Cricetulus griseus: one gene and its partners. The main gene of each other region encodes a partner of the protein of the gene in region 2 in a complex. Links are inferred from orthologs where the notes say so. Each region holds a gene or a part of one and is shown on either strand. Other genes may lie near its edges. The genes, in order: Nup205, nucleoporin NUP188 homolog, Nup160, Cetn2, Nup85, Nup107 and Cetn3.

Evidence for each region.
Region 1: nucleoporin NUP188 homolog (region 2) and Nup205 share a complex: the UniProt entries of both Homo sapiens proteins name them as parts of the nuclear pore complex. The link is inferred for Cricetulus griseus from reciprocal best matches to the Homo sapiens genes NUP188 and NUP205.
Region 3: nucleoporin NUP188 homolog (region 2) and Nup160 share a complex: the UniProt entries of both Homo sapiens proteins name them as parts of the nuclear pore complex. The link is inferred for Cricetulus griseus from reciprocal best matches to the Homo sapiens genes NUP188 and NUP160.
Region 4: nucleoporin NUP188 homolog (region 2) and Cetn2 share a complex: the UniProt entries of both Homo sapiens proteins name them as parts of the nuclear pore complex. The link is inferred for Cricetulus griseus from reciprocal best matches to the Homo sapiens genes NUP188 and CETN2.
Region 5: nucleoporin NUP188 homolog (region 2) and Nup85 share a complex: the UniProt entries of both Homo sapiens proteins name them as parts of the nuclear pore complex. The link is inferred for Cricetulus griseus from reciprocal best matches to the Homo sapiens genes NUP188 and NUP85.
Region 6: nucleoporin NUP188 homolog (region 2) and Nup107 share a complex: the UniProt entries of both Homo sapiens proteins name them as parts of the nuclear pore complex. The link is inferred for Cricetulus griseus from reciprocal best matches to the Homo sapiens genes NUP188 and NUP107.
Region 7: nucleoporin NUP188 homolog (region 2) and Cetn3 share a complex: the UniProt entries of both Homo sapiens proteins name them as parts of the nuclear pore complex. The link is inferred for Cricetulus griseus from reciprocal best matches to the Homo sapiens genes NUP188 and CETN3.

The regions. Positions count from the first base shown.
Region 1 is NW_023276806.1:192,701,152-192,704,235, forward strand, and holds the end of Nup205 (nuclear pore complex protein Nup205), read right to left. Parts: intron 2,542-3,084; coding exon 2,468-2,541; intron 1,312-2,467; coding exon 1,159-1,311; 3' UTR 856-1,158; downstream 1-855. UniProt on the Homo sapiens protein: Plays a role in the nuclear pore complex (NPC) assembly and/or maintenance. May anchor NUP62 and other nucleoporins, but not NUP153 and TPR, to the NPC.
Region 2 is NC_048599.1:141,984,036-141,988,409, reverse strand, and holds part of nucleoporin NUP188 homolog, read right to left. Parts: intron 3,416-4,374; coding exon 3,287-3,415; intron 2,226-3,286; coding exon 2,086-2,225; intron 312-2,085; coding exon 205-311; intron 1-204. UniProt on the Homo sapiens protein: Component of the nuclear pore complex (NPC), a complex required for the trafficking across the nuclear envelope. Required for proper protein transport into the nucleus.
Region 3 is NC_048599.1:86,086,156-86,090,529, forward strand, and holds part of Nup160 (nuclear pore complex protein Nup160), read right to left. Parts: intron 2,874-4,374; coding exon 2,663-2,873; intron 1,611-2,662; coding exon 1,388-1,610; intron 1-1,387. UniProt on the Homo sapiens protein: Functions as a component of the nuclear pore complex (NPC). Involved in poly(A)+ RNA transport.
Region 4 is NC_048604.1:2,890,882-2,895,206, forward strand, and holds the end of Cetn2 (centrin-2), read left to right. Parts: intron 1-29; coding exon 30-158; intron 159-1,813; coding exon 1,814-1,951; intron 1,952-2,812; coding exon 2,813-2,902; 3' UTR 2,903-3,395; downstream 3,396-4,325. UniProt on the Homo sapiens protein: Plays a fundamental role in microtubule organizing center structure and function. Required for centriole duplication and correct spindle formation. Has a role in regulating cytokinesis and genome stability via cooperation with CALM1 and CCP110.
Region 5 is NC_048600.1:128,167,062-128,171,435, reverse strand, and holds part of Nup85 (nuclear pore complex protein Nup85), read right to left. Parts: intron 2,469-4,374; coding exon 2,347-2,468; intron 528-2,346; coding exon 393-527; intron 289-392; coding exon 166-288; intron 1-165. UniProt on the Homo sapiens protein: Essential component of the nuclear pore complex (NPC) that seems to be required for NPC assembly and maintenance. As part of the NPC Nup107-160 subcomplex plays a role in RNA export and in tethering NUP96/Nup98 and NUP153 to the nucleus.
Region 6 is NW_023276806.1:138,575,041-138,579,414, reverse strand, and holds part of Nup107 (nuclear pore complex protein Nup107), read right to left. Parts: intron 4,300-4,374; coding exon 4,166-4,299; intron 1,867-4,165; coding exon 1,722-1,866; intron 507-1,721; coding exon 403-506; intron 1-402. UniProt on the Homo sapiens protein: Plays a role in the nuclear pore complex (NPC) assembly and/or maintenance. Required for the assembly of peripheral proteins into the NPC. May anchor NUP62 to the NPC. Involved in nephrogenesis.
Region 7 is NC_048595.1:302,238,658-302,243,031, reverse strand, and holds part of Cetn3 (centrin-3), read right to left. Parts: intron 825-4,374; coding exon 633-824; intron 1-632. UniProt on the Homo sapiens protein: Plays a fundamental role in microtubule-organizing center structure and function. As a component of the TREX-2 complex, involved in the export of mRNAs to the cytoplasm through the nuclear pores.

The DNA of each region.
Region 1 (3,084 bases), on a different chromosome or scaffold from region 2:
AGAGGACAACATGCTAGAGTTAGTTCTCTATCTCTACCAAGTAGGTTCCAAAATTCAAATTCAGGCCATCAGACATGGCAGCGAACACCATTATGCACTGGCCATCTTGCTGCTGGTCCAATGCTGTGTTCTTGGGGACACACAATGTGCTGGAGGTAGAGGTCAGTGGCAGAACATTTGCTACCATGAGTGAGGCCCTAGGTTCTCCCAGGATCACAAAAGACTTTAGAAGAGGGCCAGTGCAGCAGCAGGCAGGAGGCTAACATTTTAACATACTGGATCCAGTTATATGCTCACTCATCTCCCCAGGACTTGTGGCTACTATCATGACATTTTCTATTTAAAGGCTGCTTAGCTAGTGGGCAGCCAATTGCTTACAAAATATAACAATGACCAAGCCATTTTAACTACAATGATTAAAAAGCTGGACAAATTTTATTAGAAAATTTAAAACAAAAGCCACCAACTATAATACCATGGACTGACAGCTACACTCTGTGTTCACGTGAGTCAGGATTCAGCCTTCTCGGCATCCTCTTTTGTAGCAGGCTAGAGTTTCTCCTGGAAGGGAAAACATACCACAGGGCAGTGGTGATTATGTAATTTTTTCCTCAGTGGTAACCACATTAGTAAGAAAATAGGTAGATGATTAATTTGAGAATTGTCACAATCCTTTCAAAGAAACCAAGAGAGATTGTACTGCCATTTGAAATGCAGGAAGGAAGGGCAAAGCTACCTTTAGGAGAAGGAGTGGCATTTTTTAGGCATTTCTGTTTTCAGAGCATGAACATGGCTGCAGTTCATTATCTACTCTGCTACAGAGTACCTCAGCATCAAAAGGCATACCACAACAACTGAAAACAAACTGTGCTTTAATTGTGCATTCAGAATCTTTCCAGGGAAAATCAAAACATCTTTATGTTGAGTCTTAATAATTTCAAAAGACTGATTATATATTGTTTTGTTATTTTTTTAAAAAGTATTTTATTGTTCACAAGTGAGGGTGAAATAAGGCAGAGGTTTACAGAAAAGATGTCCATATATCAAGAAAGAAATAGCAAAATATCTTTTGGTCATAATTTAGAAATAAAGTCATCTATAAAAAGGAGATGGTTTTCCTCAGTTCATCTCTTCCACAGAAGAGTAAAAGCACAATTCTCAACTCCTTGATATCCTCAGCAGGCCACGGATACGTCTGACAAGAGCCTGTATGAAACTATAGCGGGATCGAACTTTTGAATACAACCCTTCAATGTCCAGAAGTTTCTTTTGTAGTGATTCTCCAAAAGCATTGATGGCATCAGACTGAAGCTGGAGGTAACACAGAAAACCTTTTATTATTACATTGTTTTCTCAGGTATCTCATCCTTTGTCTTTTCATTTAAAACACTGTTACACTATTCCAATGTGTTCTTTCTTATATAAAATAAGATGGGCGTATACTTCAGAGGCAGACTGTGTGCCTAGCATGTGCCAGGCCTTGGGCTGGAAACCCAGCACCACCACTACCCCATACCTACCTCACCCACACGTACATTCACAAAAGGCATTTTTCTAAAGTTAAACACTATCAGATTTTGCAATGCGGTACCAAATTAATTAAAAGCTTACATTTCTACCTTAGACTGTCTTGTGGTTTTAATTCCTATACAAATGTGATTAAACTAATGATGTATCTATCTTCAATAGCAACAACTGCTGATGCTGATAAACGAGCAGACACAACAGACAGACAAACCTGGCTCCTCAAGGCCATACCAAGCGTTGTTAAGGGGCTTGGTGGTTAAGAGCAATGGCTACTCAAGGAGATGATGGGACAGACTCAGTAGACTTCCTATGAGAGACCTTACCCTCTCTGAGGAGCAATGGGAGGTGGGGTGGTAGGGATTGGAATGTAAAAAATAAATTAATTCAAAAAGGAGCACCAGCTGCTCTTCAGAGGATCTGGGTTCAATTCCCAGCACTCGAATGGAAGCTTACAACCATGTAAAACTTCAGTTCTAGGAGACCCGATGCCCTTTTCTGACCTCTGTGGGTACCAAAACACATGTTTCGCAGATACACTTTCAGGCAAAACACCCATAAGTAAAATAAAAATCAATGTTTCTTGTTTCTTTAAGTTTCTGTGTGTCAGACTTGTGATAGATAAGTTGCTAAGGGCACTTGGTATTCTCACAAAGAACCAGGATTCAGTTTCCAGCACCCATATCAAGCAGCTCACAGCTGTCTCTGACTCCTGTTCCAGGGTATCTGAAGCCCTCTTCTGACCTAATAAGGTACCAGACACACACATGGTGCACATACATATACACAAACACTTTCATATACACATAAGAATTCTTTAAAAAAAAAAGAAAAAAAGAAAAAAAGTGCCTTTAGGGAATAAAAAGAAACTTTTATTCTCTACTTTTATCAAAAAACCAAGTTTCCCTTTTAAAGAAAAAAGAATATGAGGACAGAATCTTACCTGGTCTATATCGTGTTGGCTCACTAGAGCCAGCCCACTTCTGAAGTCCAGATTGGGTTCTGTGGAAAAGGAATCTAGAGATAAGAGACACAGTGAGCAGCTTTGCTAACATGCGCCTGCGGCACAGCAGAGGCACCTGCCGGCAGCAGCACACAGAACACAGTGATTAGCACCTAAACTCAGCTTTGAGCACTGGAAGCCTGGGACCTATCCCAGTCCAGGATAGGTCTCGCCCTCCCTTTAGGAGTCTAACGAATGCTCACCCACATCAGAACCCCCGGCACAAGAACAATGGCTTCTATCTATTCTTCTGAAAAACCAGCTCTGACATGACTGCAGCTGGAGCAAACTTAACTATAGGAAAACAAAGGACAACAAATAAGCAGGCTCCAGAAAACTTCCCAGGGGCAAGAAGTAAAATACAGAAAAACGGTTGTGTTTACTATTTGGCTCTCCAGCACTCGGCTCACTGAGGAATCTGAAACATGACATTTAAGGTGGCTTGGAATAGTTTGTGGTGTACATCCACAATCCAGCTACTTAGGAGGCTGGATCAATTGAGCCCAGGATTTTAGGGCCTCTCTGGGAAATGAAACAAGACCTTGCTGCAAAAAACA
Region 2 (4,374 bases):
AATTAAGGAAGGTCTTTAGAAGAGCAGCCAGTGCTCTTACTGTTCTCAAGGAGGATAGAGATCTGTAACTCATGGCAGACTGCTTCCCTAACATGTATAATGTCTTGGGTTCCATATCAAGCACTACAAGGAGATCTTTAAAAAAGTAGTGGAGAGCTGCAAAGAAAGCCCGCATCCCTACTCTAACTGCTACATAGATCCTACCGTGGCCAGACGTTTCAGCAGCTGGATGGCCAGACGTGGCAAAGCTGGGTCATGTCTGTGGTAGATGTACTTGGCTAGGACAGCAATGAGGTTGTTCCCATGGGCACCTGAAGCAAGGAAAACACAAGAGCAGGGTGCCTATTAGAACTCTTCCAAAACATTTGTCCACTGTGCCAGAGTAAGTCCAAGTGGCCAATGCATTAATGGCAAAGATTTTGTTTTGTTTTGTTTTTTGTTTTTTGAGACAGGGTTTCTCTGTGGCTTTGGAACCTATCCTAGAACTTGCTCTGTAGACCAGGCTGGCCTCGAACTCACAGAGATCCACCTGCTTCTGCCTCCCGAGTGCTGGGATTAAAGGCGTGTGCCACCAACTCCTGGCCAAACATATATTTTTAAGGAAATACTGTTTAATAAATAAGTTACAAAAGCCACTACACTGAAACTTCAAAAAAAGAAAAAACCTTAAGCCTTGAACCTTAAGCAGGAAAGCTAGTGAGACAGCTCAGTGGATAAAGGCCCTTTGCAAAGCCTGACGACCTGATTCAATCCCCAAAACCAACAAGGTGGAGAAGGGGAAGCAAGTCCCACAGTCTGACAAAGTATGTGTTCTAATTCACTCTCTCTCTCTCTGTCTCTCTCATTCACTCACTCACTCTCTGGCTGGCCAAGGAAGAACATGCTTGCAGTCTCAACACTTGGGAGGTGAAGAAAATAGGATCAAGAACTGGAGGAGGGGGTCAATGAGATGGCTTAGAGTATTAAGGTCCTTGCTGTTAAGCCTGATGACCAGAGTTCAACTCCCAGAACCCACAAAGTGGAAAGAAAGAGCTGACTCCCAGACATAATGCACATAAACATAATAAATATTTAAAAAATCACAAAAAAGAGTTCAAGGGCCCCTCTGACTATACAGTTTAAGGACAGCCTATGTCTCAAAGGAAAACAAAATAATTTGGCTGGAGCAGTCACTCAATAGTGGATGGAACACCTGTTACTGTGCATAAGGACCTGAGTTCAACACCTAGCATTGCAAATGGAAAAAAAAAAAAAAAAATTAAATAAATGGTCTTAGACATGATATAAAACATTACTAAAAATGAGAATGAGCCAAAGATTAAACCAATTTAAAGTCACATTGTGATATGAGCCAATGTGTTTTGGAAGTTTTTTTGTTTCTTTTGAGAGGTCTTGTTATATACACCAGGCTGTCAGGGGCTGGTGACAGCGAATGCTAGCTTCACTGTCTTGGCCAGCAGTTGGCTCTGGCCCTTCTAACTCTGGAGTGATGGAATTATAGGCACAGGGGAGGCACACTTTCTATCTCCTTTGTGTGTTGTCAATGCAGTTGTTCAGTTATCTATTCCCTCCCTCCCTCCCTCCCTCCCTCCCCTCCTCCCTCCCTCCCTCCCTCCCTCCCTCCGTCTCTCTCTCTCTCTCTCTCTCTCTGGTTTTTCCAGACAGGGTTTTTCTGTGGTTTTGGAGGCTGTCCTGGAACTAGCTCTTGCAGACCAGGCTGGTCTTGAACTCACAGAGATCCGCCTGCCTCTGCCTCAACCTGTTAGGTAGTCCTCGCTGGCCTTTTATTCCTGCCTCAGTCTCCGAAGGATACTGGCATTTACTATTATGCCATGCTGGATGAGAAGTCCAAGGTAAAACATGAATATGCCTGAGGTTTTCACACAGCTGGCCAAAACTTAAATTTGAAGAAAGGAAATCTGATTCCAGCCTCCAGCCATCTTCCTATGTTGTCAACAGTAGGCCAGAATACAGTATGATTCAGTCCCCTTGTTTTCAAGTCTAGGGAATCTCCCAATGTCCAAACATAGGGCATAAAATATGTCTTTATAGGCAGTAATGTAGCTGAGGAAGAGAAATACATACCATGCTGTGTGAGAGCCTGTTCTAGCGGGGACACCACATTAGAAGGAGGTTTCAGCCGAATAACATTATTGGTGACAGAGAATGCCAGTTTCACTGTCTTGATCAGCAGTTGCCCCTGTCCCTGACCTTCTGGCCCATCACTAGGGTGCAAATGGAAATCACAGTTAATTTAGACAACACGGTTTCACTCATAGCATGTGTATTTTCATGAATCAAGACTCTCCACTAGTTTCTAGGGGCCCAAATCCAGATTAGGAAAGAGAAGAGGCTAATCAGTAGACACTAGCTACAGCCTAGGAAATACAAAATAATTTTTTTTAAAAGGAATCTGCAAGGGCCAGGAAAGCAGTTTTGATACTGTGTATTAAAGAAATGAAATGAAGCTTCACCCTAACAATATGGCTGCTTAAACAAGACCTGAAGGAATACCACACCAATAGACATGCTAAGGAAGGGAAGGGGGAAATCTCACAGGGCTCCATGCTTAAACAAAGAACTACAAGTAAGTAAGGTATGTTAAGAGCAGGAGAAATAGTCTTTTGATGGGGGAAGTGCTTCTGTGTATGTGTTTGTCTTATTGGATAATAAGTAAAGTACTGTTTGGCCAATGAGGCAGCAAGTTAGGCAGGACTAGGAGTAAAGGAGGATTCTGGGAAATGTAGTAAAGAAGTGGTGATCCAGACAGGACATGACATAGCAGGCAGACTCATATAAGGAAGAGCAAGAAGGAAGTCGTTCCTTTCTAGTGCTTTTCCTTCTGGTTTCTGCTCTGGAGCCGCCATGTGATCTGCCAGCAAGAGAGGGCACCAGCAGAAGGCATCCTCGTAAGATAAGTCTTATAAAATATATAGATTTATGATAATTAAGACTGAACTAGCAGATGAGAAATCCTAGTCATTGGCCAAGCAGCATTTGTACCTAATAAGTCTCTGTGCTACTTGGGACCTTAACATGGTGGTGTGCGGAACTTAGGCGGCCTGGCGGAAAGCGCCCACGTGACGGAGGGGCTTGTGCGGCTTTGGAGTAACGACTTATTATTACAGTCTTTTCCAAAGATTAGCCCCTTAACTGATTATTCAATACCAATTAGGCAGGCTTGAAATTATATAAGCAACACCAAACATACTAAACAAGTTGTATTTATATTATTGATACACACACACACACTCTAGAAATGGGGCAGGAACAGAGGAGGCCCTACCTGCGGGGTTGAGCAGCCATCACCATGTCAATGGTGTCCACACCAATCCCCATGATACTGATGACTGTTTGTCCAGCTTCTGTATATGCCAGGCTGCAGATGCAGAGGGAAGGAAGGCTGGGCGTGTGGCTGGAAGACAGAGGATTCTCAATTAGTAGGACCTTTGGAGCTCTTACCTTGGTGTGCCTAGCCAACTGGACATAGGTGAGGTAGATGAGATATCTGCAAAAGGAAGATATTCTGAATCCCATTCTCAGACTTGGTCCTAAGTACCATCCTGAAAAGTAAAGTAAACACCCATCAATTAATGAATGTATTTAGTAAAATAATTCAGGAATAACCCATTCATGACACTTAAGGAAGAATGACAATAAGGAAGTGTAGTGATATATTATTTATGATTTATTAAAGCTTGACTGAGATTCAGAAAGCAAAGTCAGCCACAAGCCATAGAAGCCAGGCATACATCTTTAATCTGTGAGTCTAAGACCACCCAGATCTACACAAGAGTGATCCAGTCCGAAAGAGAAACAGCTCACACAGATGACCTCAGCACCTGGGATCACATGCCTTTAATCCCAGCATTAGGGAGGTATGTAAGACAGGAGCAAGGAATTCATATTAGGCATTGATTGTCCAACCACCCTGAAGATAGGAGGGCACAGCCGGGAGGTGGTGGTGCATGCCTTTAATCCCAGCACTCAGGAGGAAGAGGCAGGCAGATCTCTGTGAGTTCGAAGCCAGCCTGGTCTATGGAGCGAGTTCCAGGACAGGCTCCAAAGCAATACAGATAAACTCTGTCTCAAAACCCCTCACACGCCCCCCGCCCCCAAAAGAGGGCACAGAATCAAGCTACAGAGCATCGAACTCATGGAATAGAAAAGACTAGAATCTGTACTGACTTGGTAATAGGCACCTCTGAGGAGGCACATTAAAGTGGGAAATTACCAATACGGAGCCAAGTAGAAATACAAGGGTATTTAATAGGGAAAAGTTGCACCACATTAAGATTTTCTAATGGAGTGCTGGAGAGATGGCTCAGAGGTTAAGAGCACCGACTGCTCTTCCAAAGATACTGAGTTCTATTC
Region 3 (4,374 bases), about 56 Mb from region 2:
ACAAGGTTCTTTTTTTTTTTTTTTTTTTTCCGAGACAGGGTTTCCCTGTGTAGCTTTGGAGCCTATCCTGGCACTCGCTCTGTAGACCAGGCTGGCCTCGAACTCACAGAAATCCGCCTGCCTCTGCCTCCCAAGTGCTGGGATTAAAGGTATGCGCCACCAACGCCCGGCCTAACAAGGTTCTTAAATGTACTTTCCTACTAAAATACTTTGAATCAGTACCAGATCCATAAAAACAGCATCTTTTTTATATTCTTAGGAAAAATGTCTTTCCATTTAGATAGCAGCCCATTCTTAATCACTAGGTACTTTCATGTGGCAGTAGTTCTAAGTGTTGGAGATTCAGTGGTAAACAAACTGCCCTCATGAAACTTAACATTCTATTGCTGGAGGATGAGAGAAATGGAGTTAAATTAATAGTGAGAAGGACAAAAGTGAGTATTGCTGGTGCTGTGGAGGGATGGTTAGGGAAGGCTTCATGGAGGAGACAGAATGAAAGACTAAAAACACTGAGGGGGAATTCCAAGTTAGGAATATGTATCGTGTCTTCAAGAAATTGCAAAGGGAACCCTGTCTTGAGAAAAACAAAAAAAGAACCACAAAGGGGCATGTAGCTGGTATACAGAGCAAGGGAAAAGAATGAACTAATGAGGTTAGAGATGACAACGGGGCACTCACTGTGAGCCAATGTATGGAGACTGGGTTTATTCAGATCATGATGAACACTGAAGTAACATGATTTTGCTTTTTATGTGTATGGGTGTTTTGCATGCAAATATATAAGCATGACACTTTGATGCCCTTGAAGTCCAGAAGAGGGCATCAGATCCAGTAGAACTGGAATTACAGACAGTTATGAGCTGGTATATGAGTACTTGGAATAGAACCCGGGTCCTCTGGAAGAGCAGGCAGTGCTTTTAACTGCTGAGCTATCTCTCTAGTCTCCCCTAACCAATGTTTACTATATCAATCTGCCTGGGAAGTTCCTGAAATGGGAGGGCAGATCTGGAGACATTTAGGACATTAATCCAATAATGTAGGCAAGAGACAGTGGTGACTTGGAACAGGGATCAGTTGTCAAACTTGGTCCCAAAATTCATTCTCTGTAAATACAGTACTTCAGTATGAGGGTGGAACAACTAATAATTTATGTCTACTATTGAACTTAGAATAGGCTAATATACATGTAATCTGTTTCCCATACCCAGCATCCCATCTAGTTCCTCATCCACTGAATAAAGGTATGCAGCAGGGACCAAGCAAGAAATAATGAAAGCAGGAAAAATGCAGACTCAACCCCTACACTGACAATGGATGTGATGGAATGCCTGTTTTAATGTCAACATTGACAACTAAAGATAAATTCATGCTCCTTTCCCATTCTTACCAGGTAAGTCATAAGGAGGTAGTTTAAGAACAAAGATGCCGCCAGCAGCAGACGGAAGAGCAAACAGAGCCTCCCCATCACTGCTAAGCCAGGCTGCAGAGGTGGTAGAACTTGGGGACAGTCCAGGTACTGTTGGAATTAACTGATAGTTGCAAGGATCTCTGAAATCAACTTTTCCAATGTCAGTAAATATTGACTGCATTTGACTTTCAGTTACCAGCTCCTGTAATGAAAAAGAATCTGTTTTGAAATAACCTGAATTTTGTTGAGTTCCTCTCAATTACTAAAAATGTTTATTTAAAAAGATATTGATGGGTTGGAAGGATGGCTCAGTGGTTAAGAGCACCTGTGGCTCTTAGAGAGGACTTGGGTTTTGTTCCCAGCACTCACATGGTAGCTCACAACTGCCTGTAACTCCAGGTCCAGGGGATATGATGCCCTCTGCCCCCCAAAGGCACTGCATGTATCTGGTATATCTATATGCATACAGGCAAAACACTCATAGGTATAAAAACAAATGTTCCAAAAAAAATTGTTGAGCATGAGATGAAGCTTCCTCCCTGCCAGGCAGTGGTGGCACATGCCTTTAATCCCAACACTTGGGAAACAGAGGCAGGCATTGGATCTCTTCGAGTTAGGCACCAGCCTGGTCTACAAAGTGAGTTCCAGAACAGGCTCCAAAGCTACAAAGAGAAACCCTGTCTTTAAAAACAAAACAAACAAACAAAAAACCTTCCCCCCGTCCCTGCTAGTCAGGCTGTCACTATGTAGCCCAGGTTGGCCAGGAACCTCCTCTGTACAGCTGAGATTGCTCTGAGACTTAAATCCTCCTACCTCAGCCTCCCTGTTAATGGCTTACAGATGTATACTGTAGTACCTAATGAAAACTATCCTTTTTAAAGAAAGAAAACTATTTTATCAACTTGAATGTTTAATCTTTTTGTTGTTGAGACAGGGCCTCATGAAGCACAAGATGGCCTTGAACTCTAGGATGATCCTGAACTTCTATCTTTCTCTTTCCATCTCCTCAGTAGCAGGATTACAAGCACAAGCTAGACTTATGAGGACAGAACTCAGGGCTTTGTTCATGAGAGGCAAATACTCTATGACTGAATAACATCCCCAAGCCTAATTATTTCAAACAATAACTATAAAGAATGATTGGTTAACAAGGAATCCAAATTCTTTCCATTTCAAAGATATCATTCCAGTCCTAAATCTGTGATAGCTAGCATAATATAGGAAACAAGTTATTGCACACAACAATCAACTTACACTTCTGTACATACGGGAAGGGTGTGGTAAAATTAACCTGTGCACTGTCTGATTGGTTAATATCAAGATTATCACATGATTCTGAGTTTCAGAGACATGAACTCCACTGGGTAAGATGCTGCAATTTTGGAATTTTAGGCGAACTGCATTATTCAACAAATTTATGTCCAGTGATTCCTCCACCAGCTCCAATGTATCCCCAGAAGTCTTCCTGTTAAAAGAGAGATTTAATTAAAGTTTTTCTTTCTCAATGACTACCGCAATAAAATAGACGATAATAGTGCCTTAATGAACTCTCCAAATTTGAAAAGATTAGACAATTTGGGTAACTTTTCTTCTCTCTCTTTTTGAGACTAGGTCTCTCTGCATAGCCTTGCCTGCCCTGAACTCACTACATAGACCAGGCTAGCCTCCAACTCAGAGATCTACCGGCCTCTGTTTTCCTGAGAGCTGGGATTAAAGGAGTGCACCACCATGTCTGGCTCAGACCACTTTTCCATTTAAGGACAAGTTATGTAGACTTAGGAAAACAGTGTAACAAAATCTAAATATCATTACAGCAACGTTAAATATACATCCCATTTTCTTAGTCCCTACTTTACTTAAGATAAATTTTACTGCTGGTTGATGGTGGCTCACGCCTTTAATCCCAGCTCTTGGGTGACAGAGGCAGATGGATCTCTGTGAGTTCAAGGCCAAACTGGTGTACAGAATGAGTTCCAGGACAGGTTCCAAAACTACACAAAGAAACCCTGTCCTGAAAAACAAAAACAAAAGGTAAATTCTACTACATAAAAATTAACTCCACCCATCACTTGTTCAGGAACGAGGTATCCATGCACATTACAGCACCAAACAAACAATAAATAAGCACATTTCTCTTTCTATTACTTTTTAGCATATTTTAAAAATAGCAATTTTATGAGTTTTGCTCTTGCTGTGTAAAGGTCAATATTAATATTCTTAAAAATATAAAAATAGCTGCATGTTGAGCACTATTACTCTTCAAGGAGAGCTTCTGAATAAATGGCAATAAGTACTTTGAGTGTAGAGGTAACTTCCATGTTTACTTGGATATCTGCAGACCTAGAGAAGTATCTGAATCAGAACTGACACTCAATAGATTCTGTCTGATAAGACACAAATGCAACTGGCAGCAGCATGTGTGGGAGGGGAAGGAGGGCGCTTAATTTAAATCCAAGTCACAACAAGGGAGCCAAAATGTTCTGTCGACAGTCATTATGTCTGAATTTAAATTCATAATTCTAATCACCTCTACTGCCTGCGCTGCCCATTATACCTATCACAGATACTGCCTGCCACTTTATACAATTCTGCAAGGTATCTTTCTTTCTTTCTTTCTTTCTTTCTTTCTTTCTTTCTTTCTTTCTTTCTTTCTTTCTTTCTTTCTCTGAGACAGGGTTTCTCTGTGCAGCTTTGGAGCCTATCCTGGCACTCGCTCTGGAGACCAGGCTGGCCTTGAACTCACAGAGATCTGCCTGCCTCTGCCTCCCGAGTGCTGGGATTAAAGGTGTGTGCCACCAACGCCTGGCCTGCAAGGTATTTCTTAAAATACCTTCTAAGTATTTGTCATTTTAAAACATCTTTAGCATATACTCACTGGTCTATGTCAACATGCTAGTTTAGATCTTGAATATGTTAAAGATTTAGTCTTCAGGACACTATCAAGATGTGGTAGGACCTCTTAGGGG
Region 4 (4,325 bases), on a different chromosome or scaffold from region 2:
TTATTTAGATGATCCTGTTTTCGTTGTAGGTTGCAATGAGGGCTCTGGGCTTTGAACCTAAGAAAGAAGAAATCAAAAAGATGATAAGTGAAATTGATAAGGAAGGGACAGGAAAAATGAACTTCAGTGACTTTTTGACAGTGATGACTCAGAAAATGGTAAGTTAGTTGAGATAATGAGCATACTTCCCATCCATAATGGTAGATACATGGGAATCTAGACATAAAAAGAACTTCATCCAATAAAATCTATACCATTCACATGATTGAGCATTGTATTTATAATTAAGAGGATCCCTAATTTTCATTTGGCTTTCTTTAGGGTTACGGTATCACAGAAATCATTTTACCTTGTCTCATATGACCATATGATAATCACAAGCATTAAAACATGTTAACACAGAGATTTTCATATGCTTCTCATTTTTATTTTAATATTATTAAAATTAGATTAGCATACAATAAATCAGGTATTGTGACATTTTTCGGACAAATGCTTCTCATTTTGACAATTCAGTATGTACAATCACAGGCACAAGAATTTTGAGCTTTAGAATAGATAAGGTGTTTTGGTACTTCTAAGGTTCCTTTCATCTATTCCTAGTTTCTTAGATCCTTTTAGCAGACCAACTTTGCTCTTACATTGGCCTTCTGGCTTATTGGTGTGGCTCCTTCTCTCAGTATACCTGAAGAAAGGTTACCCTTTCAAGTTCCTCAAAGTGTTTCCCAGGCACAGGTTGGGAATTGTTTTGAAATCACCGTATCTACATCTGCATTCATGTATGTGCATGTGTGTACTGATTTAAGAGATCAGGAAGCTTGGTATTCTGCAGCTCTCTAGCAAATCCATTTCATACTCAAGATTGGCTCCTAGATTGCTCTAACTAGTTCTCTAGTTGTAACTCCTGGCAAGAACCTTCATTAAACATTTGAGGTTTAAATGCTTTGGAAAATTCTACTCTTTCTGTTAGAGTACTCAGAGACCCAGTAATTCTTTGAAGTCCATTGTGCAAAATGCCTCTCTTATTAAAAATGCCCTTATAAGTATATCTCTAACTTCTGTTAGCATTAGCAGTGTATTTTCTCTAATTATAACCCTATTTGCTGCTTTTAAAAATGTAAAAAAGAATCTAGAATCTCCTTGGTCTGTACAGTGTTTTAGATACAATTATATTTCCTTTGTAATCCCAGAGTTTATGTTAAGTTTACTGAGTTTGTTTTCTTTTTCTATAATGGGTCTTACTTTTTTCTGTAACTGAAGGCATATATCACAAGGGCTATCACCAGGACCATGTGATGATGTGTGATGGGGGCCAGGGAATTAATCGAAGAAGATAGTTTCCCTAAAACTACCCCCTTGGCTTTAGAACTGGGGAAAGTTCTGAACAAGACAAAGCAAAAGAAGGGCAATCCGTATAGATACCTAGTAATATCCAGTGTTGGGTGTTGGAAAGATGAGCCCCAGCTCATGTCAGAAGCCCTTGTCTTCTACCTGTGGAAACTGTCCAGCTGCCCTAGGACTCTGTCCTCCCTACATGTCTCATTGACCCCTCAAACCAATCCTTGTGCCCGTTTATCAGAACTTCTTGGCTTTTCCACCAAGCTGGCATCTGTTCTTACTGAATTATGAGCTGATTATGGAATACATGTTAGGATAGGAAGTAGACAGAGAGTACATTCCACCGTGGACCAGAGAACCTGACTTGCCTGCCTTCCTAACATGGCCCAGGTCAGGTTTTTGGAAACAAAAGGATGACCAAGAAGTGGCAGGACTGTAGGATATGAATAACTATCTGTTTTCTGTTCTACTAAAGTCCGAGAAAGACACCAAAGAAGAAATCCTGAAAGCTTTCAAGCTCTTTGATGATGATGAAACTGGGAAAATATCATTCAAAAATCTAAAGCGTGTGGCCAAGGAGTTAGGCGAGAACTTGACTGATGAAGAACTGCAGGTGCGTAAAGCTTCAGTTAGAAACTCGAAACCTCACGTTGGAGCCCCCTGGCTTTCCCAGGTTCTATTTTCTCTACTAGGAAAACTTCTTATGCCTCTAGTGATAATTAAATGCCCATGGACCCTGCTTCTGGAGTACACATGTGCAGCTGAATTTCCTCTTTTGGGTTTCAGGCCAGGGTTACTTTTCAATTGATACATTTGACAATATATGTGATTTGGTTTCAAATAACTATCATAAAAAGTGGCACACTCACATTAGATGGACCATAGTTATCTTTCCTTATAGCATTATTTGAAGTTTCTTTTTTTAAATTTATTTTTATTTAAATTAGAAACAAGCCTGCTTCACATGTCAATCCCAGCTGTCTCTCCCTCCCCTCCTCCCCCACATCCCACGAAACCCTCACCCCATCCCTGTTCCTGTACCCAAGGAGGGTGAGGCCCTACATGGGGGATTGCCAAATTCTGTCATATCATTGGGTCAGGGCCTAGGCTCTCCCCATGTGTCCAGGCTGGGAGCACATCTCTCCATGTGGAATGGGCTACCAAAGTCCATTAATAACCCCAGGGATAAATACCGGTCTACTACCAGAGGTCCCATAGAGTGTCGAGACCTCCTCACTGATACCCACATTCAGGGGGTCTGGATCAGTCCTATGCTGGTTTCCCACTATTAGTCTGGGGTCCATGAGCAATGCCTTGTTCAGGACAGCTGTTTCTGTGGGTTTCACCAGCCTGGTCTTGACCTCTTTGCTCTTCACATCTCCCTCTTTGCAACTGGGTTCCAGGAGTTCCTTATCTAACCTGTTTTCAGTTTAGTTTGTGACTTAATCTAAGATGAACCCTTACTGCTGTGCAGGAAATGATTGATGAAGCTGATCGAGATGGAGATGGCGAGGTCAATGAGCAAGAGTTCCTGCGCATCATGAAGAAGACCAGTCTCTATTAAGATCACTGCTTCTTTTTCTACTTCAAGCACATGTGACTAGATTTAGTGCCTGCCATTTTGTGAAATACGGCTTTTGAGAACCCTCCTTCCCCAACCTGTGGGTTAACTAGCCATGCCCCTGAATCTATTTTTGACTTTTGGAAGTTTCTTTGATATTAAGTTCTTTGTACATTTCCCTGCTGACTAATTAAACAGGGCAGAACAAGAGCACATAGTGGGGAAAGGGTGTGAAAGTGTGACTGCAGCCACTCCACTTTCCATTAGTTCACATTGCTTATGCATTTTCACACAGCTGCAAACACACAATGGCTTCTTAGATGTCCATGTAGCCATGTCACAATAAACAGTGGTTGTTCTAAAATTGTTCTAGTTTTTAGTTGACACCAGAGTGCAGTTTTTTCCTCACATAAAACCCAACGAATGCTTGTTATGGCATTTAGATATGTGTTAATGCATTTGTTTTGTTTTAAAAATAAAACTTTTCTTAATTTAAGCTCTCATTCTTTAAAGGGATGAGTGTTTTTAACCTTTAACTGTGATTTCATCTTGTAAACAATTCTGTTGAGGGCAGCCTCATAGATATACAAAATTTGCTATCAGCCTATGGACAAAAAAGGAATTAATTCTTTGCTACTTTTCTGCCATGGAAAGTTTCTTGCTTTCAAAAGTTATTTTTACAACTGATAGGATTTCCATATGACCTAAGCCCTAAAACTTCTTCCATCAAACTGTAAAGCTTAGAGAGTCTTCTGGGTAATTTGTGCTTGGACAAAAAGGAGAGAGCTAGACAGTAGTAAGATTCAGGCAATCTTGTGAGCTTATTTGCTTATAGCATCTCATAGCATCTTAGGATTGGGTTCAGAAGAAAAGGGGTAATATCCAGGAGCCCTCTAAGCCCTGCATAGCATTGCCTATGAGAGAAACCCAATTATGTGGCTTTAAAGTCAACTCCATGGTGAAAGTAGGGAACAAGGTGGGCTGAAGGGAAATAGAAAATGAACAATGATTGAATACTTATTGATGCTCATATGAGAAAGAAACGATGGGTTTTTAACTTAATGGAGGCATTCTAGTCTTCTGATGTGTGTGTGTGTGTGTGTGTTCGTTCCATGTATATGGAACAACAATAAAAGCCAGATAGGTGATCATGCTTGTAGTACATAGGTGGAGGAGTCAAGAGGATTGCCATCAGTTCAAGGCATGCTGGTGCTTCATAATGAGATTCAGGCCATTTTGGGTCACAAAATCTGACCCTGAGTTAAAGAAGCAAAAAAACAAACAAACAAACAAAAAACCAAACAACAACAACAAAAAAACCAAAAAACACCAACGGAACCACACACAACTAGATCAGTTTGAATCAGATCATCAGTGAATACATATATATATGGGGGGGTGTGGGTGTGGGTGTGTGTGCATTTTC
Region 5 (4,374 bases), on a different chromosome or scaffold from region 2:
TAGGACTCTGCCGATCTCATCGGGGGCCTCAACTAGAAGCTGAAAGCTCTCCCTCCTTTGCAGCCGAGTGACCGGACAGCCCTCTCCAAAGAAAATCCAGCTGCTTGCTGCCTGGATGCCAGGTTCCCAAAGAAGTGCCCAGCCCTGGCCTGCCCCCGCCCACACCTTGCAGAGAGCCTCCAGGCGGGGGCTGGCTGCGAACGTGCTGTCTTGCAAGTGCCGCTCACATTCCTCACGCCAGTGCTGCCACTTCAGCTCCAGTTCAGTCAGCGTCTGAGTGTTGCCAGGCTGCGGGACGGGACAGGCCTGCTGTGAGACACTGAGACCCCAGACCTACACGTTCCCTGATCCCTATCTCCCAAGGCCGGGCAGGCAAGGAGGCTCCCACATACACTGAGAATGGGCATTGTCCTCATCAGGTCCCCAAGGATGCGGCACATGCTTGCACAGGAGGGGTTGGCATCAGCTTCTTTGGACAGCATTTGTCGTGCCTCATCCAACCGGCCCTGAAGCACCAAGACAGTCACCTGCAAAGAGATGGGAGCCAAGAGCCCCCAGCAGAAGGCTCGCTACTCCAAAGTGCTGATGCCTCCAGGCTGCCCTTGACCCGAGTCAGCAAGAACTCCTCCCTTCCAGCAGTGACTCCCAGTCATACCCTGTGCTGGCTGATTTTAAAGTAGCTTGACATGGGCTACAGTCATCAGAGAGGCTAGAACCTCAACCAAGAAAATGCCTCCATAGCATCAGGCTGTAGGTAGGTGGAAAGCATTTTCTCAATTAGTCATTTATTTGGGAGGGCCCAGCCCATGGTAGGTGGGGCCATCCCTGGGATGGTGGTCCTGAGTTCTGTATGACAGCAGGCAGAGCAAGCCATAAGGAGCAAGCCAGCAAGCAGCACCCCTCTATGGCCTCTGCCTCAGCTCCTGTCTCCAGGATCTTACTCAGTCTAAGTTCCTGCCTTGGCTTCTCTCAATGCACTATTACTCTGGGCTATGTAAATTAAGCCCTTACCTCCCCAAGTTGCTTTTGGCCATTGTATTTCATCACAAGAATAACAACCCTAAGATATGACTCCTTTAGCAAACTGTCAGTTTAAAGATAGCTGGCAACCAACTTTAAATGTTTTAACACCCGTGTGTGTGTGTGTGTGTGTGTGTGTGTGTGTGTGTGTGTGTGTGTGTGTGTGTGTGTGTACAGTTGTGTACCATGAGGAGGCCAGAGGACTATCAGGTGATCAGCACTTATGACTTAGTCCCTAGAGACAGGATCTCTCACTGAACTTAAGAGTTAGGCTGGTGGCCATCCCCAGCACCACATCACTGGGAACATAGGCAACCACGCCACCCAAACCTGTCAAAAACAACAACAACAAAAATTCCAGACCAGTAGGGCTACATAAGGAGACCTTGTCTCAAAACCCAAAGCAGACAGGCAGTGGTGTCACAGCCTTTAATCCCAGTACTCAGGAGGTAGGGATCTCTGTGAGTCAAGGTGTCAAGGCCAGCCTGGTCTACAGAGAGTTCCAGGACAGACAAACACACACAGCAAAGAAACCCTGTCTCAAAGGAAAACAAAAAACAACAAAAAACCAACAGCAACAACAACCAAAAATAAAACAACCAAGGATATTCTTTTTCTTTTGGTGATGCTAGAGATTGTGATCTCGAAGATGCCGGCAGGTATTCTAGGATGCCACAAGCCCCTGATCGGTGGTTCTCAATCTTACTAATGCTGGAACCCCAGCCATAAAATTACTTCATTGCTACTTCATAACTGTATTTTGCTACTGTTATGAATCCTTGTTTGTTTGTTTGTTTGTTTTTGAGGCAGGGTTTCTCTGTGGCTTTGGAGGCTGTCCTGGAACTAGCTCTTGTAGACCAGACTGGTCTTGAACTCACAGAGATCTGCCTGCCCCTGCCTCTCGAGTGCCGGGATTAAAGGCGTGCGCTGCCACCACCACCCCGAGCTACAGTTATAAATCCTAATGTAAGTATCTGCTATTTACATTACGGCCCTAAGCAGTCTACCTCAGAACAGCCACTGTGCTCATCTGCACTCCATCCCCACCTTAGTCCCCATCAACCACTTTGACCATCTTACCTTCTCTTCCTCAGCTCTATAAACAAATCAAACTTCCTTTCCAACAGCAAGTGTTACCCTTCATGCTAAATTAGTTTGAAACTACTCTGCAGCAGACAAAGAAAGATGTAAAACCGCTGCTAGGATCAGAAACTCAAAAGAGCCGAGCCAAGGCCTGGAGCAGTCGTCATTCTATAGCCACCTGACAGCACCAGGATGCAGAATGCAAGGCAGAAGGAAGGAGGGGGCTGCCCACGTTATACTCACCAAGTTCCAGAAGCTCTCATGTTTGCTTGGGTTCTCACTGCCCAGAACATCTGCCGATAAACTGTCTACCTCACACACGTGCAGTCGGACCCAGTCAAGAAGATGGAGGAGGAGAGGACCAGCTGAGGGGAGAGACTCATGTCACACACAAAGACCCCGGCTTCATCTGCAGCAAGTTCCACTTTACTCAAAGTACAGACACTGATGTTAAAGCAGAAAACCTGACTGCAGAGGGGTTTAATCTCCTGCAACTGGGAAGGAAAAAGCAAGGAGCTTACAAGTCAGTCCTCTGTCTCTGCAAGGCAGGACCATCTTGTTTTAACTTAAGAAAAGCAGTGTGGGAGAGAAAGACGCCACGCTACAGGGTTCAAGCAGAGGGTTTTTATTAGGGAAAGGGATCATAAAAAGGGGAAAGAGGAGGGGGGAGACTGGCTCCAGGGACAGGAGCAGCAGGAGAGAAGAAAGTGTGACAGAGGGGGAAGGGGAAAGAGGGGGATGAGGGGGAGGGGAGAGAAAGAAAGAGAGAAGGATGGATGTAGGCAGGGCCCTTTGGAAAGGGACCATCAGGTGCCTTTCCCATCACCACACCATCACCTGGTCATGTTTGATAATCTTGTGCCTCCAGTTCTATGGCCAACAGCTGGTAGTGCTGCCACAATGGCTGATTAAGAATGGTCAGTGGGAGCTGGAGAGATGGTTCAGAGGTTAAGAGCACTGGCTGCACTTCCAGAGGTCCTGAGTTCAATTCCCAGGACCCACATGGTGGCTCACAACCATCTGTAATGAGATCTGACACTCTCTTCTGGCCTGCAGGGATACATGCAGGCAGAACATTGTATATATAATAAATAATGGTCAGTGACTCTCCAAAAAACATTCCAGTGGGAGCAAGGAGGTATAGACGATGACACAGCTCCCATGAGTGAGGCAGAGAAGTAAGACCCAAGGGTCTGCAATTCCTAGCATCCCAGGAATTCAGACAGGGTTGATTTTGAGACAGGCACAGGCCTCCCAGTGAGGCGTCACTGAAATGTGGGGACCAAGGGCTCTGAGCTCAAGAGACACACAGTCCCCAGCTACCAGGACTTCGAGAAAAGCCAGAGGGGAGGAAAGGACCATGCTCCAGAAAGGAAGCCTCACGTGCAGGGCAATGGTCAGAAGTGGATAACCCCACCAGAGACCAATGGTTGGTATTGAATGGAAGGCAGAGCCATCAGTGAATGAAAAAGCAGCTTTGCGGCAGGTGGAAGAGCGGGTCTATTGAAGGTGGAGCAGGAGGGTGAGGTTCAAGCACGCAGTGATTACAAAGTGCCGGGAAGAGCATTTTTGGTCGGCTTATTCCCAGTGAGTGGAGCAGAGCAAGACCCAGTGGCTTTTGTCAAGCAAGGATCTAGCAAGAAAGGCACAAGCTGCTTGGGTGAATCGTCAATCAAGGGGCAGGGTCTGAATGGCCTGAGGTTCTGAGAAACCAGACAGGCACAGGCCACCCAGTGGGTCATCACACAAAGGTTGGGGGCTAAGAGCTCAAAGCCAGAGCGAGCTGTGGTTTCTGATACCAGGACTTAAGGAGGCCAAAAGGGGAGAAATTACACTCGAGAGAGGAGAGGATTCCTCACTCATAAGAACAGCTATGGTGGGAAAGGTGGAGAGTCTCACCAATCATGCCGAGTTTGGATGGAAAGACCGAGAGATCCGGAGAAGAGAGGCTGTTGGATGTGAAGCAGGTTTGAAGGTCCTGGCATACCTCAAACTGCCTATGGGCAGGAGAAGCCGCCAGGAGAGCCATCTCAGTCAGGGAACCAATGTTGTAATTTAAGAAAAGCAGCTGGTGAGAGATAGATGCCATACAACAGGGTTCAAACAGAGGGGTGGATTTTTGTTTTTTGTTTGTTTTTGAGGCAGGGTTTCTCTGTATTGCTTTGGAGCCTGTCCTAGAACTTGATCTGCAGTCCAGGCTGACACAGAACTGACAGAGATCCACCTGTCTCTGCCTCCCAAGTACTGGGAATTAAATGCATGCGCCGCCAC
Region 6 (4,374 bases), on a different chromosome or scaffold from region 2:
GCCTAAGGTTGTTGTGTTATCAGGTCCCTTTATTGGTCTCGATCTTATTTAGTGAGAACAGTCTTTCACTGAGCCTGGAGCTGCTCTTTTGGCTACACTTGCTCATCAGCAAGCTTCCTGGATCTCTCCACAACTATGTGCCACCAAGTGGTGGGGATTTGAGCTCAGGCATCCATGACTACGGTCAGCCTTTTTCTCATTGAGCTGTCCTCTCTCTCTAGTCTCAGACTTTCCTTTTTAAAGAGTGGATTCCTCTTTTCCTCCAAATAAGGCTCCTACAGCCTCGGAATATGTAAAAAGCAGAGGTCCTCTAACCAGTTCCCCTGCAACCTCAGCACAGAATGGGAATTAGCAGATGAACACACAGCACTGAAATTACTGACCATGGAGGGAATTAATTACCTGACTACCACAGATATTTTCATACTCTTCAACAAGATCAAAAACTGTGGTCGAAGAGTGCTTCAAGAAAGACTGCAGGAAATCAGAGAACATACTCATGGATGCTAAAACACAGGAGACAAAAAGGGACAAAGGATAAGCCACATACTTAAAGAAATTCTAATGCTTTAAAAACACAAAAATAGCCGGGCATTGGTAGCCTACACCTTTAATCCCAGCACTCCGGAGGCAGAGGCAGGCAGATCTCTGTGAGTTCGAGGCTAGCCTGGTCTACTGAGTGAGTGCCAGGATAGGCTCCAAAGCTACACAGAGAAACCCTGTCTAGAAAACCCAACGCCCCCCCAAAAACACACACACACACACACACACACACACACACACACACACACACACACAAAAATAGCTACAAGTCCTTTCCCTCCCTCCAACCCAACTGTATTTCTACTAACTAGTGACTTGCTGAAGGGCGATGGTGGGGCCTGTCTTTAGTCCCAGCACTTGGGAGGCAGAGGCAGGCAGATGTCTGGGTTCAAGGCCTGGTCTATTGAATTCCAGGATAGTCAGGGCTACACAGAGATAATTGTGTCTCAAAAACAAAACAAACAACAAAAGATTCTACAAATTTTTAACAATTTTTAAGTGTGCTGTTCAGTGGCCTTAGGTACATCCATATTGTGGTGTTAACTGTACCAACACCTAGCCACAGAACTCTTTATGTTGTAAAATTTAACTCTGTAACTAATTAATCAGTAACTAATTAATCCAGTCCATATTTCCCTCACCCCCTGGTAACCACCACTCTACACATAAGAATCCTCCTGCCTCCAGAGAAACCCTGTCTTGGAAAACAACAACAACAAAATATAACAAAAACAAAAACAAACAAACAAACAAAAAAGAAACCCAAAAAACAAACAAACAAAAAGAATCCTCCTGCCTCTACCCCTGGAGTGCTGGGATTACAGGACTATGCTATTGTGCCCAAGGTCCTCAGAATGTTTAGATTTCTCCATTTTTACTAGCAGTTGTTACTTCCTAAGTTTGATATATTCGCCCCCACCCCACCCCCACACACCTGCTGTTTAGACAGAGTCCCGCTATGTAGCCCAGGCTGGCTGGCAGGAAATTGCTACTCAGACTAGGCTAGTCTCAAATACACAAAGATCCACCTGCCTTTGCCTCCTAAGTGCCGGATTATAGGACTGTACTACTCTGCCCAGCAAAAAACCACAACAACAACAAAACATATTTTGATTAAGTCCAGGAAAAGGCTTCCTTGATGTGGAAGTAACAAGCTACTTAAATCTCAAAGCCATTACCAGCCTCTCCAGGGTCATCTTCACGTAACATAACAGCACTCAGGTTTACGTCCTCAGTTACACTGTGGGGCTCCACGTTTGTGCAGAAGCCCAAACGCTGTGATGAGAATGCAGCTGCCCAGTTACTGTCATCCAGGTTTGTCACCTTAAAAAATAAACACAGGAAAGCAATGGAGCAATCATCATAAATAAGCAAATAATGAGTGTCAATTTTTTCCATCCTACATGTTTTTCATTTTAAAAGACTGTGATCTTGTTACAGATGCTACAAGTTTTCTTTACTTTTTATTTTATGTGTTTGGACATGTTGCCTGAATGTGTGTCTATGCACCACTTTTGTGTATGGTGTTCACAGAAACCAGAAGAGAACACTGGATCCCCTGGGCTGGAGATAGAGGTAGTGTGTGGAGATGTGGGTGCTGGGACTCAAAACCTGAGCCTTCTAGAGAAGCAGTCAATGCTCTTAACCAATATCTGAGGATTATTCTTTTAGCTTTAAAATAATCTTTTGTTTTACGGGGCTGGAGAGATGGCTCAGAGGTTAAAAGCACTGGCTGCTCTTCCAGAGGCCTTGAGTTCACTTCCCAGCAACTACATGGTGGCTCACAACCACCTGTGATAAGATCTGGTGCCCTCTTCTGGCCTGCAGGCATACATGCTGGCAGAACACTACATACATAAAAAATAAATCTTAAATCTTGTTTTGTTTTGTTCTACAACAAGTCTTATATAGCCCAAGCCCACCTCCAATGCACTATGTGGCTGAGGATGATCTTGAACCTCAGATCCTCCTGCCTGTCTTCTGAGTGCTGGGACATCAGGCATATACTACCATTGAGCCCCAGGCTCTGATGCCCAAAATGGAGGAAAAAAAAAAGGAGATGGGTTTAAGCTCTGACAAAGCAAAGTTAAAAGGCAAAACTACCCTTCAGGAAATACCTAGTCCAGATAACGTCATATGTGCATAAAAATCTCCATGCCTGTTAATAAACCACAATGCCAAAGACAGAACCATTTTGATTTTGGAATCAATATGCCTTGAAAGTCTACTAATATAGCAGTTTTTGTTTCCTTCTTCAACACAATGTATTTTTTTTCCTAGTTCGTATATTTAACAACCAAGTGAAGCCACTGCACATCATAGTATATAACATTTCTTCTGCTGCTTTCAGTACTGTTCCATAGTGACTCCTGAAGACTGTCTCATCCTTCCCCTAAATATTCTCTTCCATCATGGATAGAAAAGCCCAGCTTGGCTTCTTCTGCATTTTCATAGCACAGAGCACTACTGTCACCAATGTGGGCAAGAGGAATCAATTCAGAGGCAGACATGGGTAGGGGTCCTCTAATTCAGTTCAATTTGGATACTGCTTACTGTCAGATCCCACAGGTGGACAGTCTTCTTCCTTACCATGTCTCTCATCTTTGACTAGTCACTTTCTTGTTTTTGTTTTGTTTTCTTTAAAACAGGGAACTCCCTCTGTAGATCTGGGCCTCCTGAGTGCTGGGATTAAGGGCCTCTGCTATCTGACCCTTCACCTCAGTTTTAAGACGGGACCTCTCACTGAATGTGGAGCTCAGTTTTGGCTAGACTGGCTGACCAGTGAATTCCAGGTTCTGCCTGTCTTTTCCCATGCCCCCATAGGAGCCCCCAGCTTTAGGGTAACAGTGTTGCCACACACGGCTTCCACATTAGTGCATGGAATCTGAACTCAGGTCTTATGCTTATGAGGCAAGCAGTATACCCACTGAGCCACTAATGAACATGAGCCATTAATTTCTTTGTAATTAAAAATGGCCAGGTGTGATGGTGTATGGCTTTAGTCCCAGCACTTGGGAGGCAGAGGCAGGAGGATCTCTGTGAGTTTGAGGCCAGCCTGGTCTACAAGAGCTAGTTCCAGGACAGCCTGCAAAGCCACAGAGAAACCCTGTCTCAAAAAAAAAAAAAAAAAAGAAAGAAAGAAAGAAAGAAAGAAAGAAAGAAAGAAAGAAATCCAGAACCAAAACCAAACAACCAACAAAACAGGGCTTGGCTTTAACAGCCATCACCAGTTTCATAATACATTTCATTTGGTTAGCAAACAGCCAGATTCAGGTATTTTACCTATATCTAACTGTTGCTTTTGCTGCTGTCATTTTTCCTTCTGTGACATGACATGCTCCAATATTAGATTTTTGTTCAAATATCTCTCCGTAACTTCAACTTTCATTAAGGCTTTTTTTTTTTTTTTTTTTTTTTTTTTGAGACAGGGTTTCTCTGTGTAGCTTTGGAGCCTATCCTGGCACTCACTCTGGAGACCAGGCTGGCCTTGAACTCACAGAGATTCACCTGTCTCTGCCTCCCGAGTGCTGGGAGCTGGGATTAAAGGCGTGCGCCACCAACGCCCGGCGCATTAAAAGGCTTTTAAGCCAAATACTTAAGTGCATTATTTATTTCTACATACCATGGATAGATTTCCCAAGAACCCAGAAGACTGTGTGTGCCGGGGAGACTTCCCTTCCGTTCCGAGAATGCAGGAAATATCTGGGTGTCTTAGTAAGCTTCGGCTTGGTGGGGTAACAAGTGAAAGGCCAGGAACTGTAAACACAGAGCAAGTAGACCAGCAACAAATATATTTTCCCGGGTATGGGGGAGATGACTCCACCAGTACAG
Region 7 (4,374 bases), on a different chromosome or scaffold from region 2:
TGCAGTTTAAGGAAAGAATATTAGCAGTAGAACGAACAAACAGATTGGAGACTTCTAAGTCCAGAAGGCAATGGGAAGACTATAAGATACACCTATGTGTCTGTGGGAGACACACTGAGCACTGCACCTCATAGTCAGTCAGGGAAAGAATTCAGTAATATTTTAAATAGAAATCAGGGCCTGAATCAGAGTAGCAGGAAAAAATGTTTACAAAAAAATTAGAACTGATTGAAAGAAAATCAACTAATTTAGTAATAGTTCAAAGTACAAGCAGGTTGAGAGGGAAAGCATGAAAGTCTGAAATTTTAGTAAGCAGCTACATTTTGGTATTATTTCATCTTCAGAGAAGTTATGTGTAATATTTCATATCATAACTTGCATAGCTGTTTTAAAGATCTGCTTCAGTATAAATAGAAGCTCAGAGTTTGGCACCCAATTGAACTCCCATCTATTCAGGAGGCTGAGGCAAAAGGATTATCAGTTCAAGATCAAACTTGAAATAAGTTCAAGGCAACATGAGGCTCATCTTCAAAAACAAAAGAGAAAGAAAATGTGGGGGAGAAGGGAGAGAAAATTTGCTTGGAGTCTTGAAAACTCAACAGATTTTAGAAAAAAAGTAAGGCAAAACTTACTTTCTCCATCGCCATCTTTATCAAATTCTTCGATCATAGCTCGAAGTTCTTCATCACTCATATTTTCACCCAATTCTCTGGCAACGCGTCGCAAATTCCTCAAGCTTATTTTACCCGAATCATCATCATCAAATAGTTTAAATGCTTTCAGTATCTCTTCATGTGGGTCTCTTTCCAATATCCAGTCTGTCACTAGAGTTAAAAGAAACTTTTGAGTCAGAGAGCATTCATCTTTAAAAATCAGCTATTAAATGAGGTGAGATCTGTGAGTCTGACAACATTCCATCTAAAAGTTAAATATAAAGGTAGATCACAAACTCAGAGATAATACTAATTCCAAAGCCAGACTTTAAATGGTAATCTTTTAGTGTCAATAAATATTACAAATGTAAGTACAAAGGCCAAAAAAGAGACTACACACACACACACACACACACACACACACACACACACACAATATATATATATATATATATTGATCCCATTATTACTAAGAATTAAACTGGGCATGGAGAGATGCTTCAGCAGTTAGGACCACTTGTTCTTAAAGACCATATGAGTTCAACTCCCAGCAACCACATGGCAAATCACAAGAGTCTATAATTCCAGTTCCATGAGATCTGAAGCCCTCTTCTGACCTAGGCACCACGTTTGCTGTGATGCAAAGACACATGTGAACAAGACACTCATATCAGTAAATATAACACATAAAATAATTAAGTCCATAAAACAATTTTTTCAAAAGTTACTATTCCACCTCTATCAGGCCACTGAGTTTAAGTGAACAATGAACACTACGTAGGTGAAAACTGTTAGCCAAGTGACACCTTGATTCTTCCTCAAATTTAACCCAACTCAGATGTAGGGATTAATCAAAGATATTGCCACCACTAATACAAGCATAAAACAAGTTAGCACGTGCAAGTGCTATCAGCATCTTCATGATTAAAAGAACCTGTTGACTTTCAGCAACACTAAAGATGGATTAAAACAATTAAACCTGATCACACAACCCACAGCCCTGGAAGGGGGTCTAAATCATGTCTTTTTTAAATATAACAAAATAATAATTCTCAAACTAGTTAAATAGAAATGAATCATTTCAGACTTAATATATTAAACAAAGCCACATATCAACATACTAAGTATGTATACTTCAACATCATAAGCCTTTAATCAATAGTCAATAAAAATTGACATCTATAAAATTTGATATTGCTTAATAGAATTCTCAAAATATCTAGGTAAACAGTTCTGAAGCAACTCCACATGCTGTTCTGCTCCAGGGAAAGACATTTATTATTTTCATCACACCATCAAAAGTAATTTGGTCCTAATGGGATCTATAGATTCATTTGAAAATTTCAAATGCCTATAGCCAGGAAGTACTGGAATGTTTAATATGCCCAAAGTGGAAAAAATACAATTTAAGTCTTCTACAAGTTGTTGTCTATTGCTATTTCATTTGTATTTGGCTGAATAAGCACCAGTCAAGCTAATGGTACATATCAACTACACATATATCCAAAATTATCTTTTAGCCATTAATTTTATCCAAAAAAAGGTTTCCAAGAAACTAATTGAAGTATATTACTCTAAGTATGCAAATCAAAGCTCATAAATATTCAGTAAAAAGAATTGGCATACCTACAGCCATAACACCAAAATAAAATACCACACTTAACTCTATGGCACACACTCAACTTATTTTGAATTCAGTCCCAACAAGAAAGCAGGACAAGAAAAAAGTGTTATGAAATTTCATCGATTAAGTAACATCCATGACAGGTAAACCAGAAAGGCAGACTGCCGAAAATACTAATGCACTTAAAGAAACAACAGATGGGACGCCAAGATGCACAAGCACTTACCCACTGACACTCTATTAGAATTTCAGATAGATGTGTCTATATAATCACCTACCAATAGTCTCCTTTAGAATTCAGCTTTCTTAGGACTTGTAACTGCCCATAAATTCTGAGCAACTAGAGCGTCATCCAACATAAAGTATTTTACAGTGATATTCTTCCACACCTTCACTTTCCATTTCTGTTCTACAAGTACTATTTGAAAGAAATATCTTTTTCAATAGAAACAAACCAGGCATGATGGCTCTTGCCTACAATCCAGTAGGAGGACTTAAAGCAGTTAATACCCACACAGTCAAGGTATCACCTGTTTCACAAAACTCCAAATTTCTATCCATTCAACCACTTTTTGTTTTAATTTTCATACTGCAGTACTGCACTTTATTGACATAAAGCACACTATAACCAACTACAGAGACACATGACTTAACTACACTGTCAGAAATGTCCTCCCATCAGACGTTATAAAAATCATGTAAGGAAACAACTAATTCTGAAGCACTACATTGAAAGTAAATCAAAAATCATGAAAGACAATATTAGAAAGTTCCTATCCAAACATACAATACTTATTTCAAACTCATAGATACTGGACCTTCAAGTCCTTCCATAGCCACCTATGGGCTTTGCTGCCTCCTTGACCTCCACTGACTGAAGGGTAACTGCATCATTTATTCACTCTAACATAGTGGTAAGGCTTTGGATCCCATAAGTGCCAGTTACCACTGGATACTACAGCTCTGAAGACACTATCTTATTTTACTCTCAAACTCAAGCCTTTCTTTTCATCTAGCAATTCTGACCATAAAGTCTACAACTTTCTGTCTTCTCAGAATTTCTCCAGTTCATCTTCAATCTTCTCATCAGCTACTCTTGTAAAACATGGTATCCCAGTCTGTAAATTTTAGTACAATACTTAAGACTATCAGTCTGGCCCAATTCTGCCTTCCCAGTGCTCTGACCTTCTCTAGAAGAGGGGACCACATGAGATCAAACTTCTCCAACATGCTGAGCATCTATTACCACTCAGCCTTGTTGCTTTCTCTGCACCGACTGCATATCCTCTACTCTTACAATCTTCTTGGCAATTTTAGATTCCTGAAGATTTAAATTAAAATTCCCCTATGCAAAGGCTTAGTTCCTCCGATGAAGACTTGAGAGACATTTCCCATAAAGGGCCAGATGAAAAACATTTTAGGTTTTGGGAGACTTAAGCTCACAGTCTAAACTACTCACTCAATCTGGTAGCAGAAAAGCAGCATAAATAAATGGGTGGTAGTACAGAGTAAGCAGTCAAATTCAGTCCCGGGCCTACAGTTTGACAACTTCGGCCCTAGCTAACAATCTCCCTCTATCACAGAACCAGAGTTTGTTGTCACCTATACCTAAATCTAAGGTCCTAAAAACAATTTCTTGGTAATTTTAACTAACCCCATTCTTCCCACCAAATGCAAAAATTTCAGTGCTAGATAAATGATCAAAATGGAAAAATACAATATCGGATTTTAGATAGAATTTAAAATATAAGTAGTACAAGCCAGGAACAGATGAAGTATAAAAACACCTTACTTCTACTCTTACTTTAAAGGCAGCAACTCCTGAAACACCTGCTACTCATTAGCCGAATGATGCTAACTACCCTTGCACTGAATGGACATTAGTTAATTCTTTTTTCTTACAATGGGGAAAGCTCAGGACGTGCCAGGCTCATCTGGAAATACCCTGGGTCAGTGTCCTTAGGCATCAACAAATGGTCCATAAAGCTAAGGTCTAGGTAGTATCAAACTCTGTTCTTAAGTATTAAAATATAAAAATTACAATTCTTAAAATTGTATTTAGGTAAAAGATGTTTTACAAAACTATAAATAGCAATG